Linked DNA regions of Rhinolophus ferrumequinum. The protein of the gene in region 1 purifies or fractionates together with the protein of each later gene. This does not show direct contact. Links are inferred from orthologs where the notes say so. Each region holds a gene or a part of one and is shown on either strand. Other genes may lie near its edges.

Region 1 (9,510 bases):
TTTTTTTAAAAAAAATCTTTCCAGCCAGTGTATTTGACAATGCAGACTACTCAGAGGGTGCAAGAGACGGGTACACATGTTTATTATTCAAGTGTATGCTCTGGGCACCTCGCATCACCAGATTCCTCACCCACTTTTCAATCTCTCTGGTAAGTGCTCGTCTTGAACAATTTGTTTTAATCAGTAATGGAAAATTGAAACTTACAATTAACTTCTGGGCAAGACTTACAAATCTATCTGTATCCTGAAGAGTGATCATAAAAGATGCCTGAATGAGGACTGATTCTTTTTAAAAATTAATCATCCCTTATGATATCAATTGCAGCCCTCTATTTCTGGAAGAATGCAAATTCAATCCACTCTGTCAATAGCAATTCCTAGATATTAAAAAGGAGCTGATTACTTTGTTATGTCAGCTTCTGCTCAGAAATCAACTGTAGAGGACAAAGTACCAAATCCTCAGCTTGGCATTCAAAGCCTTCCACAGAAGGCTCCAACTCTTCATTCCAACATATTCCCCTGTACAAGCTTCACACTCCTTCCAAATGGATGAACGTTTTTTGGGTTCGCTGACCATAACTTGGGCTTACCTAACTTGTAGTTCTGCCTATGCCGTAACTTGTACTTAGTTGTAGAATACCTCCCTCACCTCATTGTAATCTCCAAAAAGCCAGCTCAAGTCCTAACTCTCAGATCATACTGCATTATTGCGGCCCTCAGAATTTACATTTCTTACTTTTGGTCATGTTCACTGGCAAATAATGATATACTCTCTCGTGATTTTTCTTCTACTGTTTTATTGCATTTTCATTCTGGTATTATTTATTAATTTCTGTTATTTATTGTTTTCCTTAAGATTACAAGAGCTAAACTTATTGAGGTCAAAGACCATCTAAGCATGAGGCTTTATATCCTCCACGGGGTTCATTTATGTATCTGGTGCTCACTGATTGATTGATCAATATCCTCCTATCAGGTCGGTCCCTGCTGACAAGGTATGACACTGCAGAAACATATCTAGCACTGAGGCTGAAAACACCAATTTTCTTATCTTTATAGTATTGTAAAGCAGTTCCATAATGTGAGAAAAACAGTTTATTCCTAATGCACCGTCTAAAAAGCAGATTTATCTATTTTATCCTTTATGCCTTCTCTCTCAACCTTTTTCTCAAATTATCTCTCATTTCCACTAATCATCAAAGTCTACATGTTCTGCTTGAAGACCAGCTGCTACAGGAAGAGGTGCTACTGGCAGAAACATCAGCTGGTTGATAACCATCACTTGGGTGAACACTTAGAGCTTAAGAATGTCTTTAGACAAGCTAATTAGGGGCAGCTTGTACTGTGTTTGTGCATGTGTGGGTGTGCATGTTTATAACAAAGTAAAAATAAAATTGTGAATTCTTGGGAGATTTTACATGGAGAGGTTAAGAAAATTATAAAGTGTTTTGTATTCTGAGTGTCAAGGTGGTAATTCAGAAAATGCCAGTGAGCAAATAAGCAGGTACTATTAGAGGGTCTGTGGGAATGTTTCCTGATGCATCCCTATGGCCATCTGCTCCTGCCCCTTCTCACTGTATTGCCCTGAATTTTTAAAATTTAAAATAGGACGTCTCTTCATTTTTCCTGAAGCTTATCAATAAAGTAAATGTTAAATTCATGCTTCAATATCTTTTCCTTTAATTTCTCAGTAAGCTATTCCAGAATTAGCTCCATAATTTTGCACATCGCCACTTCCTCCCAGATCTGTGCCCTTTGCCAGCTTCACTGCAGTCTTCTACCTCCACACCCCCCACTCCAGTCTTCCACCAGCAAACAAACCCAGCAGTAATTACTAATGTCCAAGCACGTAATGCCAGCAGTGCTAGGCTTTTTCATTTGACGCAACTACGCAGAGAGTTGTCTGGACATGTAGCATAAAGTCAAAGCCTTTTTGAAGACTCCTACCCATCTTTTCTCCCCTCTCCCCATCACTAAAACACAGTTGTTTATTTCATCTGCAGATTACAGTTATAAAATTCTTCCATGCAGTTCCATACTCTTGAATAATAATTTTACATCACATACAACAACAAATCGATATATATTTATGTGGAAACACATGGTTATCCATAAAACTGAAAACCTTCGAAAATCAATGGCTGGGAATGAAAGTACCCTGTCTATGTGGACAGGGCATTTTAGCACCTCTAGTATGTAAATGATTGGAGCTATGACTAACTAAACACAATCCAAGATCTTATTTTGAGGCTTTTCAGGGGACCATGATAGTATTTCTTCAACACGTTGTATATATTCTTACATATGGCACTGTTACTCTTATTTAACACTACTCAAATAGTACAATTTTGCTTCTGGTATTTTAATGCAAATTTTATCTATATCAAATGGCTGGAAATATCCTGTGATAATTTGTTCACTGAGAGGCTCCAAGTCTCAGAGTAAAAAATGGTTAAATTACTTATCACCACCTCAGCAAAATCCCGCAGTGCCGTAATAGAAATTGCAGTAGATCTTTATGTCAGAGTCCAGTTTCAGTCTAACACCACGGTCCTTTCACCAGCATTACCCTGAAGGACATAGTTGGGTTCACCTGAGGAAAACCAGTCTTAGTTGTCAAATCAGAAACTATCACTGAGATAACCAATGTCTGTGGAAATTACTTTCACTCACTCTGAAACCACAGCCAAAAAGAGTAAATTTACATCCCATAAGACCTGTAATTTGTAGAAATGTCTTTTTTGTGGGGATGTGCTTGGGTTCATGCGTAATTACAAGGATGGAAGAGAAGGAAGAAGAAGAGGGGTTCATTCTTAAAGTTGATTCTGCTTAGTTCAACTACCCCATTATTTTTATCAAACAGAAATATATATGGAGAAATATAATTCTTATAAACAAATCATATGGCATCTTCATATATACCTCACTCATGCCCACCTAAGATCTGTAGATAGATCTACAATGTGCTAAAAACAAAAATAAACAAAACCCTTGATATCCGACTCAAGAATAAATGCATATCTTTTCAAAATATGTTTATTTCTTAGCAAAATAAGGGAAGGGGCAACACAGAAAATTTCTACAAGTAGACTACTACTTTTTTTAAAGCTTTGCTGGAGCTGACAGGATGGGAGCAGGCAATTGCCAGCAAAGGAGTCCCTATGGGTAGGATTTATTTTTCTTTTCTTTTCTCCCCTTCCTCCCTTCCTTCCTTTTTTCTTTTCCTTCCTTCCTTCCTCCCTTCTTTCCTTCCTTCCTTCTATGTCTGCTCTGTTAGGGGTCTCTGTGAGACCAGGGTCTCAGAGATGCAATTTGGCCTCCAGCCCCGGAACATCTAGCCCTGGTCAGGAATCTCTGCCACAGATGCAACGCCGCGGCCGGACCGCTGTCCGCCGTGCTGAAAGATTGAGGGTGTCAGTGCGGCCCCTCGGTATTGCTGTCCAGGGTGCTGAGTGCGGTTCGCCGCAGTCCCTAAGGCGAGACCACCTCCGCCAGCTCTCCGCAGAGCCCTCCCACCCAGCACGATCCGCCCGCCTCCCGCCAGCCTGCAGTTGACGTGGAGCAGGCGGCATAAATCAAGTCTGTGGGGCATGGAGGCTGCTGTCGCTTCTGCGGCCCAGCTTGCCCGAGGCGGGAACAACCCCTTCTCCTTTCGCCTCCCCAGTGCCGACACCCTGCCTTCTCCCCAATTCTTCCCTGGGTAATAGCGCCCTAACGTCAACAGTCATAATAATAGGAGCAGAACGACAGAGTTGGCTTATTTCGGTCTACAGAAAAAAAAAAAGCAGCCTAAACATCTCTGAAAACTGCATCGCAAAATGGAAGAGAGGATCCCACTACAGTTTCCAAAGAGTAAGTTATTATTCAGTACGTATCCTTCCTTGCGCTTCCTCCCAATCGCTCCATCTGCAGGGTCCCCATTCATCCCTTCCCCAAGCAGCTCACCTCGAATATACTTTCTAAAGCCCCAGGCGGGAGTCTAGCCAGACGCGCACGTACTGAATACCGCACCCTAGGTGCACAAATTCTTGTATTTGCCCAAGCTCACTTGGTCTGCCCAGCTGTGCTCCCCTCCGGGTATACAGTCATCCAGATCCAGAACCACGACCTGGGGAGTGGGGCCCTTACCTTAGCTTCTCCAGAGGGTGGTGTTCGCCCGGCCCCTGCAGGTTGCGAGTGTGGAGGAGCCGCCGAGCAGGGAGGGAAGGAAAGACAGCGCCTGACCTCCCCGAGGTTTCGTCTTCAATGCAACGTGAGCTGTGCCCTCATCAAAGATGGCCGTCCCTTTTGACGTCAGCAGCTTTTAATAGCTGTGTCCTGGAGGGGCGGGGAGAAGTGTGCCGTGGGGGAGGGCTGAAGGAGGCCGGCGTCTGGGAGTGGGAGGAGAGGTGCGCTTTGCTGCAAACCTTTGTATTTTAGCCTTTTATGAACACCCGAAAGGGACGAGTCTTCTAACTCCATTTTAACATCCGGTCTCGGGCAAACACATTTGTCTCACGGCTGGTTTTCTGATATTCTTTATTTGCATATGTGTACGTATGTATATATATGTATGTGTGTGTGCATGATATATATGTACTGTAAGTATATGATATATATGGATTGTATATACATATATAAAATTTCCCCTGCTGAGTTGAGTGTTTAGTTGAGTCATTGAAAGAGAGGGGAAGGCAGAGGAGTAGAAGGCGGGGGGGGGGGGGGGGGGGGGCGGGGTGGAGATTTCAGCTGTAATTTATTTTTTTCTGAAGAAGAGAGAGGGTCGGAAGGGGCATCCCTATCCACCCTCACCAGCTCCATATATGGACAGACTACGTGGGTTGCTATTTTTATGAGTGATTGCTTCATTTTATTAAAGCAGCATCGAGGGCTTGCAATTCGCATTAATGTGGTCAGCTGGAGAGAGAGACTCGCACACGTTATTTTAAAGTACGTCAGAGCAATTATCGCTGAGAGATATGAAATGAGTTAGGGGGGAGAGAACGGAAGGGTAGTTAACCCAAACAGCGTGGGTTTGCTGGAGTTCAAGGCTTAGAAATGAGAGTTGTTTGCGGAGGGCAAAATAGATGACGCTGTTTTCGGTTGAATTTGTCCTCGAAGCCTGGGGTTTTATGATGGATTTCTTACAAATAGTCCACAGAGGCGCGCACACGCCTTATAGAACCGTCCAGACTTTCTGGGGGAATGCGAAGGGCTGCGGGTCCGAGGATCTCCCGGACGCTACAAATTCTGGTGGTCCATTCAGTGCGCAAACCCTGGGTACCAGTCGAGGCTGGCTTGGTTGCCAGCCCAAAACAGGGTGTGGGCGAGAAAGGGTACTTGTGCAGGTCATATGACAGATTAAAAATAATAATCGTAAAGCAATAATCCTAACTGTCCTTCTTTACTGTGTATTGTGCGCCCGGGGAGGGGAGGTATGCAAATGGTTCTGCGGTGGCAGCCTCTCGGATGAATCACAGGTGTTTGGGAGGCTGGAGCGGGGCTCCGAGGGGAGGGCGAACTGGGAAGCGCGTAGGAGGTGGGGGACCTCCGCTGAAGAACTGTTTGTACTTTTCCGGAAAGGATGTGATGAGAAGTCGTGCCTCGAAATATTGAAACTTGATGGCCTCTTTTAGGTGATGGAAAATCCTTGTCTCTGGTCCGGGAAAATAACGCACGCTTCCGTCGCACCACTCCACACTCCCCGCCACACACACACACACACACACACACACACACACACACACACAAACTCACACACACGTGCTGGCCTGAACACCAAGCTTCGGTTTTTAATTGCACACTATAGGAGATGGAGAGAAGGAAAGAGGGAGGAAGTGAAAAAGGGAAGGAGGGAGGGGGAGACAGAGAGAGAGAGAGAGAGAGACCCAAGAAAGGAAAGGAGAAAGCAGAGTTGTAAAGGGGGTGTTTGGAGCAAGCAGAGCTATAAAAATTTAATAAAGAAAGTCTTTAATTGAAATAAGTGAAAGTCATTTTTTTCTTAAAGATTCCATGGTCCAAGGGGTATTCTGAAATATTGTTTTCAATAATAATTAACAAATAGTGTTTGAAATTTATTAAAGCTGGTTTCCTAAAACAAGGTATGTTGCTGAAATTTGTCTGCTTAAATATTCATTAAACATTTAAGATTCTTAAACAATAAAGAAGAAAATCTGCATGGTTCTTAGACACTTAATTGCCAATAAAACTAGTGATGCTTCTTACTTTCATTATGAAGCACACTGGAATTGGGCTGGAATTGGGCTGGGAGAAGTGGTGACGAATGCAAGGTTACTACAAAATCTTTTCTAGTCAGGATTTTTTTTTTTTAATGTGATACTTTTTTAGCATGAGGAAGTTTTGGGGGAATAAGCTTATAGTGAGGAGAAATAAAACATGTTTATGGCCCTCAGACTGAAAGTCATTCAGCAGAAAGTTTTGTGAAGGAATGGAGGAGGTGAGGGATTTTCCAGAATTAAAGAAAACAATAAAATAAAAGTAACTACGTCACTGATGTAGTCTCTTCCTGCTGGCAAAAGCTATGTGGCAGTCACAGGGGAGGACTGACTTGGTATTCTGGATTTTCAGCTGCTGATGCCCCACACTGACATTTTAAGAAATTACAGGTAAGAGGAGAGAGGCTGATTCAAAGCATCACAGAAAATACCACAGGCTCTACGGGATTATCTTGTGGCGGCGGCAGCGTTTTCCATTCACCTGTGCTTGTGTTACAAATGATACTGTTTGAGAGGTTCTCCCATCTTGTTCTGGGAAAGGTATTGGAATCTAATTTGAGAAACATAAACATTGGATAAATATAAGTCTACTAAGGACGACAAGATAGCCTTAAATGTATTTTTAATATGATAATGAAATTTTCTCCCCTAGGGTTTTCTCACTGCTTGATTAAAAAAAAAAAATCCATAGTCATCCTTGATAATAGGAAACCAGCAGATTCGTGTTATTCAGGGTCTATAAAGGCTTAAATCCCACAGAGAAGAAAGGTGATGGAAAATTTGCTCTGAAATGATTCAGATTAGAGAGCTTAAATAACCTTACCAAGGGCACAGCTAATATATGATACAGCTGGAATTTGAACCCCAGGGCCCAAGTTCATAATCACTATGCTTTACAGACTCTTTCAGCCCCTTCAGACTCATCTCCTCTGTATTAGTCAGGGTTGTCCAGAGAAACAGAACCAATAAAGTGTGTGTGTGTGTGTGTGTGTGTGTGTTTTTGTGTGTGTGTACACATTCTCTCTCCCCTTCCTCTCTCTGTCTCTGTCTCTGTCTCTCTCTGTCCATATGTGTATATATATTTATGTGTGTGTATATATATATATATATACATATATATATATATATGTATATATATATATGCAAATAGATTTATTACAAAGAACTGGCTCAAGTGATTATGGAGACTGACAAATCTCAAGATCTGCAGGGTGAGTCAGCAAGCTGGAGACTCAGGAGAGCTAATGATAGTGTAGCTCCAGTCCAAAGGCCAGCAGGCTCAAGCCCCAGGAAGAGTGGCTGTTTCAGTTTTAACCTGAAGGCAGGAAAAAGCCAGTGTCCCAGTTTGAAGGCAGTCAGGCAAGAGTAATTCTCTCTTTCTCTGGAAAGAATCAATCCTTTTGTTCTATTCAGACCTTTCGCTGATTGGATGAGGCCCATCACATTAGGGAGCGCAATCTGCTTTAATCAATCTACTGATTTAAATATTAACCTCATTCAAAGACACTGTTATAGAAATACCTAGAATAATGTTTGACCAAATATCTGGGCATCTGGCCCAGTCAAGCTGACATAAAATTAACTATCATACCCTCCTTTTATAGCTAACCTCTCTGCTTCAGCATATTGGGGTTTGTGTATGACTCTTTCATTGGCAGCTTTAGAGTTCTATTTGCTAATGGGATGAGTCTGTGGATCACTGACCACAAAGTTTGCTTGGGGTGAATTCCAAGAGAGGGATCTAGGCTGGTGAGATGATTCCATGGAGTAAACAGAAGCAACATATTCAAAGGAAAACAGTGCCACGTACAATCAAGGAGGGATTTCAGAGATCAATACCCAATAAAGAGCATAAATAAAAATTGGGTCAGAACTTGCACTCAAAATATACTTGAGAGAGTCAGCCAAAATTCAGAACAGAACAGCAATATTATTGACCACTGGTTTTGAGGAGATGATATGAGGTCTTAAGTAGGAATTTATTCCAAGGGCCAGGAACTCTGGCTGTGAAAATCAGGTTGAGATGGGTTGAGGTGACTAATTCAAGATATGGCTGGGGAATGGAGCAAGGATATTTGGGACCATACAATTCATGTTGGTCATAAAGGGCAGTGCAGTTCTTCCAGCTAGCGGGCACCAAGCTAGGCAAGGCACAGTCTAATGCCTCAGGAGATAGCATCAGTGATCTCTTGGTTATATCCAATGGGCTTCCATCTTTCTGAACCTCTGGCTTCACCCGACACTGTACCATTCATTACATTTCTTAAAGTGCTCTATAATGTGCCTTCACCTCTGTTTCTCTCTCTTATCTGTGGGTTCCTCATTTTCCATGGCAGATGGGTTGAAGCAGAAAAATTGTGGTGCTTAGCAGGTTAAGCTGGACATTTCCCTGAGCCCCACACACAAGCCCTCTGGGAGCTCCATATGTCCACAGAACGTCTCCTGACTCTCCATCATGAAAACTTATATGCTTTAGGCCAAAGAGAATATTGAAAATATTGAACAGCTCACATTCGTCTAGCCCTGTACAAATTCTAAAGCACTGTCACACACATGATCTCATTTTATTCTCACACTCTGGGGTATGTATAAAAGTAATTATTAGTTTAAATTCCAATTAATACATGAGAATTACGATTGATTTTCCAGACTCCTGTACTGACCCTGGTACATCAAGAGAACCCAATGTCCTATTCCTTCTTTCATATGTTGTCTTAAAAACCCTGATCCATGCTCTTGAGTTTAACCATAATTTATGTATGCATGACTGTTAATTTTATATTCACAGTCCCATATTCTCTCATGAGCTTCAGAGTCATATTCCTAGCTTCTTAGTGAATACTCTTATCCGAAGGATCAAAGGCATCTCAAACTGAGCATATTTATGTATCAGTTGATTTCCTTTATTCTTCTTCTCTTCTTACATTTTTAATTAACAATTTCACCAGGTATCCCATTTACTAAACTAGCAGTCAGAAATATCTTAGTTTTGTTCTCCTTTTCTGGCTTTTCTTCAGCTCTATGCACTCATTACTTGGTGATTTTATCCAATTCTAGAACCTCAAATAGCATCTATGTGTTAATACTCTCATATTTATATATTCAACCCTGATTTATCTCATGAACTTCAGCTTGTATATCCAACTTCATACTCAATACCTACACTTAAATATAAAGCAAATATAGATATATAACGATCATGTATGAAGAATTTGAGGTTTTTAACTCCAAAATGGCTTCCCTCTTCAATGTTAAATATATTACTAAATAGCAATTACATTTACCTAATTTCTCA
Region 2 (9,453 bases), on another chromosome or scaffold:
AAGGGTTTGTACAATTTGGAGCGCTAGGGACGTAGGGAAAGATACTAAAGAAAGGAGGACCAGAATGAGCAAAAACTTGGGGCAAAACTCAGCGTTTAGGGATGTTAAGAAAGATGGCCTGCCTACACAGCAGAGGGTGAAGTAGAAAATACGGTTAATTTGCGTTAAGATGACAGAGAGGATAAAAGCAAGGTGGAATGTTAAGATTTGATGCAGCAGACGATACAGAGCCCCTGGAGGCTCTTGAGGAGGTGAGTGGTATAATAAAAACAGGGTTGCAGACGTACTGCTGATAGCTGAACTACAATGGGAACAGAGACACTTGAGAGTATGCTGTTGGAATACAGATGTTGAGATCATGAAGACTTCAAGAGGGTGGTAACGAAATAAAAAGCAAGGGGCAAGTATGAAAATAACTTTGAAAGCACAACCCACAGAATTTCAGGATAATCAGTTTTTAAAAGTTCCACTGCTTTTTCATTTTTTGGTAAACAAAACAATATCAATAAATTAGCAACATGAAGGAACAGAAATGCTGTTCTTTAATCTTTTCAGAGATCACTTAGAGGCTATTCAGTTTTTTCCTTTATTTGCCTCGGGAATACCTGCCCAGACCCTTCGTTCCACAACAGGCAGAGTCAAGTACTTTTCCTCTGTACCTCACACCTACTGATAACAAACCTTTATAACCGGGCAGTCAACCTTAGCTGTACCTGTCAACCCACACAATGACCTGCTGTATTTCAGCCAGATATGCTCAGCAATTCCAAACCCACGTACGTGGCTGAACAGTTAGGGAAAAAGAATAGCTATTCTCTAAATTCTCAGTGGGTACAGGTCCTGGCCGGGCTGGAAGGATGTGGATATATGTCTGCGCTCACATTCCGACTGTGTACTTTATGCCGGCCACGTCTTGGAGAGGTCTGGGCAACAGGCACTCGCCTCATCGTGCTGACTGGGTAGAAGCAGTGTCACCCTACCAATTTCAAATCCCCAGTTCCTCACCAAACAATCCCAAAGGAAGAATTCCAACACTGCCTAGGGTCAGTAAGATGTGGTAGGTACCACACCGTTCAAGGAGAATGAGGCAGGAAGTGTTCCAAGGTGGTAGAAAAACCTCATTCCTTCAAATCTACTCAATACAATTTATTAAGCATCACGCCCCTCTATGATATGATCCCTGACTACCTCCCAGACCTATTTTCTTCCTGTGCTCCGTTTCTCTAACTGCACTCCAGCCACACTAGCCTTCTTGCCATTCTTAGAACACACCAAGGTCTTTGCTCCTGCTAGTCCCTCTGCCTAGAACGCCGTCCCCCGGCTACTCACCTGGCTCTCTCCCTCCCGTCATTCAGTGTCTCCTCAAATGTCACCTCCTCAGCGAGGCCTTCCTTGGCCAACTTATCTAAAAGAGCACACCCACCCTCTCTCTCGTCTCTCTATCTCTTTGCCCTATTTTATTTCTTCATAGTACTGATTTACTACATAGTATTTGCATGTGTGCATATATATACACACACACACACAGACACACACGATCAGGGAAGGGATTTTGTCTGTCTTGTTCTTTGTCTTGTTTCTCCACCAGTGCATAGCAGGTGCTCAAAGAATATTTGCTGAACAGTGAATGAATAAATCTATCATATGTTTGGACTGACATAAGTACTAGAAATATAAAGATGAGTTAAGTCATGTCCCATGCTTCAGAAGAACTAACAATCAAACAGGGGAGGCAGACACACCACAAGAGGACAAAGTTTGACGGCCTCAGGTATTCCTCATAGTTTCCTACGGAGAGTAAAAAAAACAACACACTTGTAACTGCTACAAATGTGTAATACTCATTAAAAATTATAAAAAGGTTAATTGCTGATCATAAGAGATGTGGTTTCAAATTCAGGTATTGCCATTTGTTAGCAGGGTAAGTACTTAACCTTTCTCAGTCTGTTTCCTAACCTACACAATGGAAATAATATTGGTAATTACTTTGCAAGGTTGTTAGAAAATTAAGTCAGGTAATGCATGCAAATAATTTTTCATGCTGCCTGGCACACAGTATGGACCCACATTAATGTTCTTAACATTATGTAACAACACCCGATGCAAACTGGCCAAAGGGGCGGGGGAGACAGATGACAGGAAATACTCCTCTGACCACTGCACCAAGTCAACTCACTTGACTCCAATGATCCCTTGAGCCCAATGCCCACTTAACAGTTACATTTTATCAATTCTATCAACAAAGAAACCTCTCCAATCCTTTCCTTCCTTTTTATTTTCACAGTCCCTCACTGGTGTCTCTGATTATAGTGTCTCTCTCCCAATTCAATTTACACATTCCTAAAGAATTAAATCCAAACCCCTTTAGTTTAGCACTTAAAGTCCATCCTGTTTGGGCCCCAACTTACCTTTCTAACCCTATCTTCTTCCATTACTTTCTGAAGTCCACCACTGTAGCCAAATTAAATCACTCTACTTTTGTATAATACCCGATGCTTTCCCACTACCAGGCCTTGTTCGTTTTATTCCTTCCTGGAATGCTCTTCTGTTCTTTACCCTCAAAAATTCAAATCCTTCCCAGCATCTTTCCAGCCCTAGCTCAAATGCCATAATGCCTTCCTTGACCCTTCCCAACTGAAAATGATCTCTATCTCCCCCGAATACCTACATGTTGTTTATATCTCTTCTATAGCATTGCTCCCTTTTAACTTTATATTTCAGTTATTATGTACTCCACAGAAACCCTTTTGAAACAATCCATGCAGTTTCAATACTACTTACTACATAGCCTGATACTCAAATATATGTAGAATGATTTCACAAATAGACATTAAAATAAGATTTAGCCTCAAAAGAACTTCTAGCCTTGAACTTCAATTTTCTGATCTAACATATATTATAGCTCCCTCACACACACGAAAATAACTGGAACACAAAGTATTGTATTTTCTAACCAGTAGTCATATTATTTTTTTTAATTTCTGGATTTAACAGGCCACATATTCTTCTTTCCACTTTCAAATCACCCAGTCTCAATCCCCTCCCATCAGAAACTTCCGGCTGCTCAAATTCTACATCATATAAGAGTATTTAAATTTAAAAGCAAAGTGATAAGATTGTTTTTTAAAATATAGAACGTAATTGTAATTCAAGACCAACTAGGTCTACCTAGTCACAAAGTACAGCCAAGTACACAAAAACACAACAATAAACAACATGAACGATGGTGACCGTTTTTTCCAAGTAAAGCTGCTGCTGACCTCCTGCTGATAAGGCTCTGAGCTGATTTCCAGGCAAAAGAAACAGCCTGTATTTGACTCACTCAGCCAGTCTCACTCAGACCCTACTGGTGGGGACAGAATTTTAAGACAAGCAATGACATCCTGAAATCCACCACCAGCTCTACTACGTCTTACTTGCTATGTGATTGTGGCCAAGTCCCTGAGCTTCTCTGTATCACATGTGTTCAAGAGCAGCTAAATAGGAAAGGAAAACAAAAGCTCCATCAGCTTGAAAACCAAAAATATATGCAGATATTTTGTTACAAGAGACAAAATAATGTAAATTGAAATGTTTTCGGTGAATTCTCTTTATTAAAACAGAAGTCATCTTACTCCTCAAATACAAATCACTGTATCTGATTTCCAAATTCATTAAAGGAAGAACTGTGTATTAAGTCATCCAAACACATCCATGCTCCACTTCCCTTAATTGAAAGCTGCTGATTTCCAAGGAGCCAGAAACTGAGCAGAATGTAAACCTAAAGTCTCAAACAGTAAACAACTCCCGATGCAAACTGGCCAAAGAGGAAAGAGAGGTGGGGCCGGGGGTGGGAGGAGGCAGATGACAGGAAATACTCGGCTGACCACTGCGCCAAGTCAACTTACTGACTGCTCTCGGGGTGACACACATACCCCCACCCACCTGGGGCTGTCAGCACTGCTCTTATGCCCCAACACCGTGAGGGCATAACTCCTAAGACGAGACTCGAGCTTCCAGCCGGGGCTCGGAACCCTCGGGGGAGCCCGGCCCTGACAGACTCCGGGATGGCAGCTCGCCGCCTCCAGACTGGAAAGGCTGAGAAGGCCTCAGGTGTGGCCTTGGCCGCAGCCCCAGCCGGGCTCCGCGTCCCGGCAGCCTCATCCAGGCCTGTCCCCAGGACGGCCCCCGCCCCCCAGCTCCGTCCCCAGGCTCACTGGCTTGGCTGATCCGCTGGATGTTGCCGCTGCAAGTCTGGATGATGCTGCTGAAGTCCCGGCGCTGGGGGCCCGAGGGCCCCGGGTTCCGGTACATGTCTAAGGGACCGTAGGACATGACGAACAGCTGAGACCGACTCGCCCTGCACCGGGGTCCTACCGGAAGCAGCTACCAAACCGGACCGCAGAGTGACGGAGAAACCGGGAAGAAAAAGGGCAGGGACGGGGCCGAGGCTGCGTGCGCACTAGCACCGCCCCCACGCAGCGCGCACGCGTCCTCCCCGCCCTGCCCCACAGTGCGCATGCGCCGCTGCCGCTGGGACCAGAGACGGTAGCTTAGAGACTGGACGCCCTGGGCCTTGGGAATGCGGGGCGGGGCGATGACGTCACACCGTTGAAGCTGGGATTGGTGGAGCTGGGGTGGCTGTGTTGTTTCTCGCCAGGACTCGGTGACAGGAGGCAAGAATTTTCGATTAGCATAAAATTGTACCAGATGATCTCAGCCTTAACATCCTATTCTGTTCTATTCTGAGAATTCAGGCCCAAATATGGGAGTATATGATAACGTTGAAACTCAGATCCGTAACCAAATTTCTGAAATTCCTCACTGTACTTCGTTTACCTACCGCTTTGTTAGTAGCGGAGCACTTTTACGATTTACAAACCACTTTCATTTCTCCCTCCACCCCTCTTCTAATCAAACAATAAAATAATAAGAAGATTTATCACGTACTATGTGTGAATCCTCACTGCAATTCAATTGTTCATAAGCTCTTTCACAGCAAGGGGACCATGTCCTAACTATATTTTTGCCTTCAGAATAGATAATGAACAATCGATTTTTTAAATGTTGAAATAAAGTAACTGACCAAAGGAAGCGTTATTATTTTTCCTTTTACAATTGAAAAAATTAAGCCCACAGAGGTTAGTTTGCTTTTCTGACTGCAAAACCCAAACACTAAGCTAACTGCATCATCATCTCCCTACTTTCCTAAAACCCATTCTCATATTCCAAAATTCATTCTCCATCTAAATCCCTCCCAAATAACGTTTTCATTTATATCCCAAACCAGGATTTCTTGGAGAACTAGACCCTCGAATTTTTAAAATAATTTCCTTAAGTAATTTGGAGCATATGACCTCAGTGTTCCCACAGAAGACTGCATTTTGTGAGCTTATGGTAAATGGAAAGACATGAGTTTGGGAGATCAAGACAGGGAGAAGTGAAGGGGAACTGGCAAGGTTTGTTTCTTGTGTTCTCCACCCCAGCCCAGCCTGCTTTGTAATCTCTGGGGAATGGTAAAGAGAGGAAGCTGCTTGCCTGTGTGGGAGGGGACCCCAAATGGTTGAATGAGCCTGCTTTCAGCTTTAGAGCTTTTATAAGCCAGTCGATCTCTATTTTTCGTTGGAGCATTTATAAGAGCATTTTTCTTTCCTCTATAAAAAGAGGCAGATGACATTTGGGGGCTCTCATTCTGGTTAAAACCCTACCATTTCTCAGAATCCATAGTTTTATGTCAAATCTTACAGCAAATTATGTAAATTGTACTTTTTTTTCACCTCTAAAATAGTCTTGAGAATGTTTTCATTTACATTTCACTCTATGCAAAGTGAAGTTCAGTAAAGGTATTTTTCTCCTAGCAACTGAAGACATTGGTTATTGTTGTTTTCTTTCTCCACCTAAAATTAAAAGTGGTTTTAATTTTAAACCACTTTAATTTTAAAAGATGGCTGTGCCTTATGCTATCTCTCATAGCAATACATTTGTACCTTGCAAATACTAGATGTCAAATGAACATTTACCGGATTTATAGATGAATAATTAAAAATAACTACCATTTCTTAAATGCCTATCCAGGCAATGTGAACAAATTGTACAAACATTTATCAGTAATCCCCAAGATAAAGCCCATGTGATAAAGACCACCTGTGGTCTGACAAAGTTAGGTTTATTAACTTAATGCTGCAAGGCAGACTGCACACCAGAGGAATCATGGGGCATCCCGCCAAGCACAGAAAGAGATAGTTATTCTAGGATTTGGAGAAAAGATGTGGTGTTTTGATATAGCCTCAAAGCACACCAGGCTATGTGTAAAGGGATTCTCATCAGGCCTGAGCTGATAAGAGGACTCAAAATCCTGTTTCCTTGGAAACTACAACATGAAGATTAACGTGGAATGTTGTACCTGGAAAGCCCTTATCTGAAGGTTTGCATCTGGGTTGGAAAACTGAGGCTGTTTCTCTGTGTCAGAGTAACTCAGATTCTCCAGTCGAGTGGAATATTCAATTCTTATTGATATTTCAATTAGCACATTTTCTGAAAATCTGTGGTTTTAGAGAATAAAGTTTCTCAGCATTATGTCCTTTTGTTAATTGACAAAAACAGTTTTCATGGTTTGCACCATAAAGGTGAGATTAATTCCTTGGTAACAGATAAGGAAACTTGTGTTCTGTAGAGGTTCTGGATACTTGCTCAATGTGATACAGATATGAAGCTACAGAGCTGTGATTCACACGTATTCTATGACTCAACAATTCTAGTCCTAACTATATAATCAACAGATATGCACACATATGTGTTCCGAAAACCAAATATAGGAATGTTCATAATAGCATTTTTTAGGACTAAATGGCATTTTTCTGTATTAATTTTTATTGAGTCATAATTGACATACAATAGAATGTATAGATAGGAAGTGTTCAAGTCAATGAATTTTTTTTTTACTTTTTATTGGGGAATATTGGGGAACAGTGTGTTTTTCCAGAGCCCATCAGTTCCAAGTCGTTGTCTTCAATCTAGTTGTGGAGAGCGCAGCTCCCTGGCCCATGTGGGAATTGAACCCGCAACCCTGTTGTTAAGAGCCGGTGCTCTAACCAACTGAACCATCCGGCCACCCCTCAAGTCAATGAATTTTGTTTGACACTTGTACATACCCAGGTTACTACCACCCAAACCAGGATATAGAACATTTTCATCATCACCCCAGCAAGTTTCCTCGAACTATGCTCTTTCTAATTAATTCCACTTATCCACAGAAATCACTTTCTGATTTTCATCACTACAGATTAGTTTTGACTATTCTTGGACTTCAGAGTGATGAAATCATATTTTATGTATCCTTTAGTGTTTGGCTTGTTTGAATTAAGGATGTTTTTTGAGATTTATCCATGATGCTGCATATATCAGTGGTTTGATCCTTTTTATTGCTAAATAGTATTTTATCAATTTGATTATTCACTTTCTTATGGATGGACATTCAAATTGTTTCCAGTCTGAGGCACGAAGAAGGCCAGAGCAGGATTTCTTTTTTTACTAGTTCCAACTGGAAACAACTGTCCATCAGCAGAATGGATAAATTGTAGTACTATAGAGCATAAAATTAAATGGCCTGCTGCTATGTGAATGATGTGGGTGATCTCATCCAAATATAACGTACAGCAAAGGAAGCCAGACAAAAATGAGTATATCCTGTATGATCCCTTTTTTTATTAGGTTCAAACCCAGCCAAATTAATCTAGATTATTAAAAGTCAGAACAGCATGTAGTTAGTTCCGGGGTGGAAAGGGGATGACTAGGAATGGGCCCATGAGGTAGACTTGTAGGAAGCTCGTAGCAGCCTTACTTGATCTGGGTGGTGATCGTCTAGGTGTGTTTACTTTGTGAAAATTCATCAAGTCAGATATGTGTGATGAATGCCCACTTCTGTATGTATGCTATACTTCAGTAAATAAGTTTTACCTTTTAAGTACAAAGTACCATTATAACCAACATGGCAAGCTTTCTGCGGAAAGGTAGGGAAGGGTCAATGGAGAAATTCACTTAGGTTGCAAAGAAGACTGCATTAAAATTAGAGCTCATGTCAACTACAATTAAAAATAAATTAGGGGGCGGCCAGATGGCTCAGTTGGTTAGAGTGCGAGCTCTGAGCAACAGACTTGCTGGTTCGATTCCCACATGTGCCAGTGAGTTGTGCCCTCCACAACAACTCGAGTGAAGAGAACGAGCTGCCGCTGAGCTTCCGGGTGGCTGGATGGCTCAGCTGGTTAAGAGCACATGCTCTCAACAGCAAGGTTGCCAGTTCGACTCTTGCAAGGGATGGTGGGCTGAGCGCCGCCCCCCTCCCCCCACCCAGCTAGATTGGAAAAAAAAAAAAAGAAAACGGCAACTGGATTTGGAGCTCAGCTACGCCCTCCACAACTAAGATTGAAAGGACAACTTGACTTGGAGCTGATGGGCCTTGAAAAAACCACACTGTTCCCCAATAAAAGTCCTGGAAATACATACTGTTCCCCAATAAAGTCCTGTTCCCCTTCCCCAATTAAAAAATAAATAAATAAATAAATAAATAAAATAAAATAAAATCCAGGTCTAAAAAAATTAGCACTTATTATACATTGCTAGTGGGAATGAAAAATTGTACAACCACTTTGGAAAACATTTTGGCAGTTTCTTAGAGAATTAAACATAAATTTACCATACAATCCAGCAATCCAACCATCCCACTCCTAGGTATTTACCCAAAAGAAATGAAAACACACGTTCATATAAAGACCTACATGCAACTGTGTAGGGTAGCTTTATTCATAGTAACCCCAAACTGGAAATAATTTAAATATGTCTAGCAGCTGCTGAATAGATAAACTGTGATACATCCATACAATGGAAAATTATTCAGTTATAAAAAAGAACAAACTACTGAAATACAGACTAAATTACTGGGACATGCAACAGCATGGATGAATCTCAAAAGCATATGCTAAATGAAAGATGCCAGACACAAACAGCTACATACTGAATGACTCCATTTATAGGACATTCTCAAAAGGCAAAACTATAGGGATAGAAGTCAGATTGATGCTTACCAAGGGCTGGAGTTGGGGGAGGGGATTGACTGCCAAGGAGCACAAGGGAAGTTTTTGGATTAATGGAAATGTTCTTTATCTTGATTGTCGTCATTACACAAATGCATACATCCATCAAAACTCTTTGATCTATAACTAAGAATAGTAAATTTTACTGTATTCAAATATATCTTACTAAACCTTTAAAAAGATGTCACTCTAAAGATCAATGCGATGAAGTGGCATGCAGGAGGTAGGTAATACGGAGTTGAAAAAAAAAGATACAAAGTTGTGGGTTGCATGAGTGTTCTGTTGACGGGATAGAATGACACTGAAAGCAAAAAACAAGTGAACATAGGAGGCAGACAATTAAGTTCACGAACTCCTCCTAGAAAAAGTGCTGCATACCTCATTG

The links.
Region 2: the proteins of SNAP25 (region 1) and STX12 purify together in Homo sapiens (co-immunoprecipitation; 3 studies listed by BioGRID and IntAct, with this or other methods). This does not show direct contact. The link is inferred for Rhinolophus ferrumequinum from reciprocal best matches to the Homo sapiens genes SNAP25 and STX12.

Annotation. Positions count from the first base shown.
Region 1 is NC_046306.1:30,944,780-30,954,289, reverse strand, and holds the start of SNAP25 (synaptosomal-associated protein 25), read right to left. Parts: upstream 4,280-9,510; 5' UTR 4,129-4,279; intron 1-4,128.
Region 2 is NC_046292.1:19,032,171-19,041,623, reverse strand, and holds the start of STX12 (syntaxin-12), read right to left. Parts: upstream 4,385-9,453; 5' UTR 4,315-4,384; coding exon 4,197-4,314; intron 1-4,196. UniProt on the Homo sapiens protein: SNARE promoting fusion of transport vesicles with target membranes. Together with SNARE STX6, promotes movement of vesicles from endosomes to the cell membrane, and may therefore function in the endocytic recycling pathway.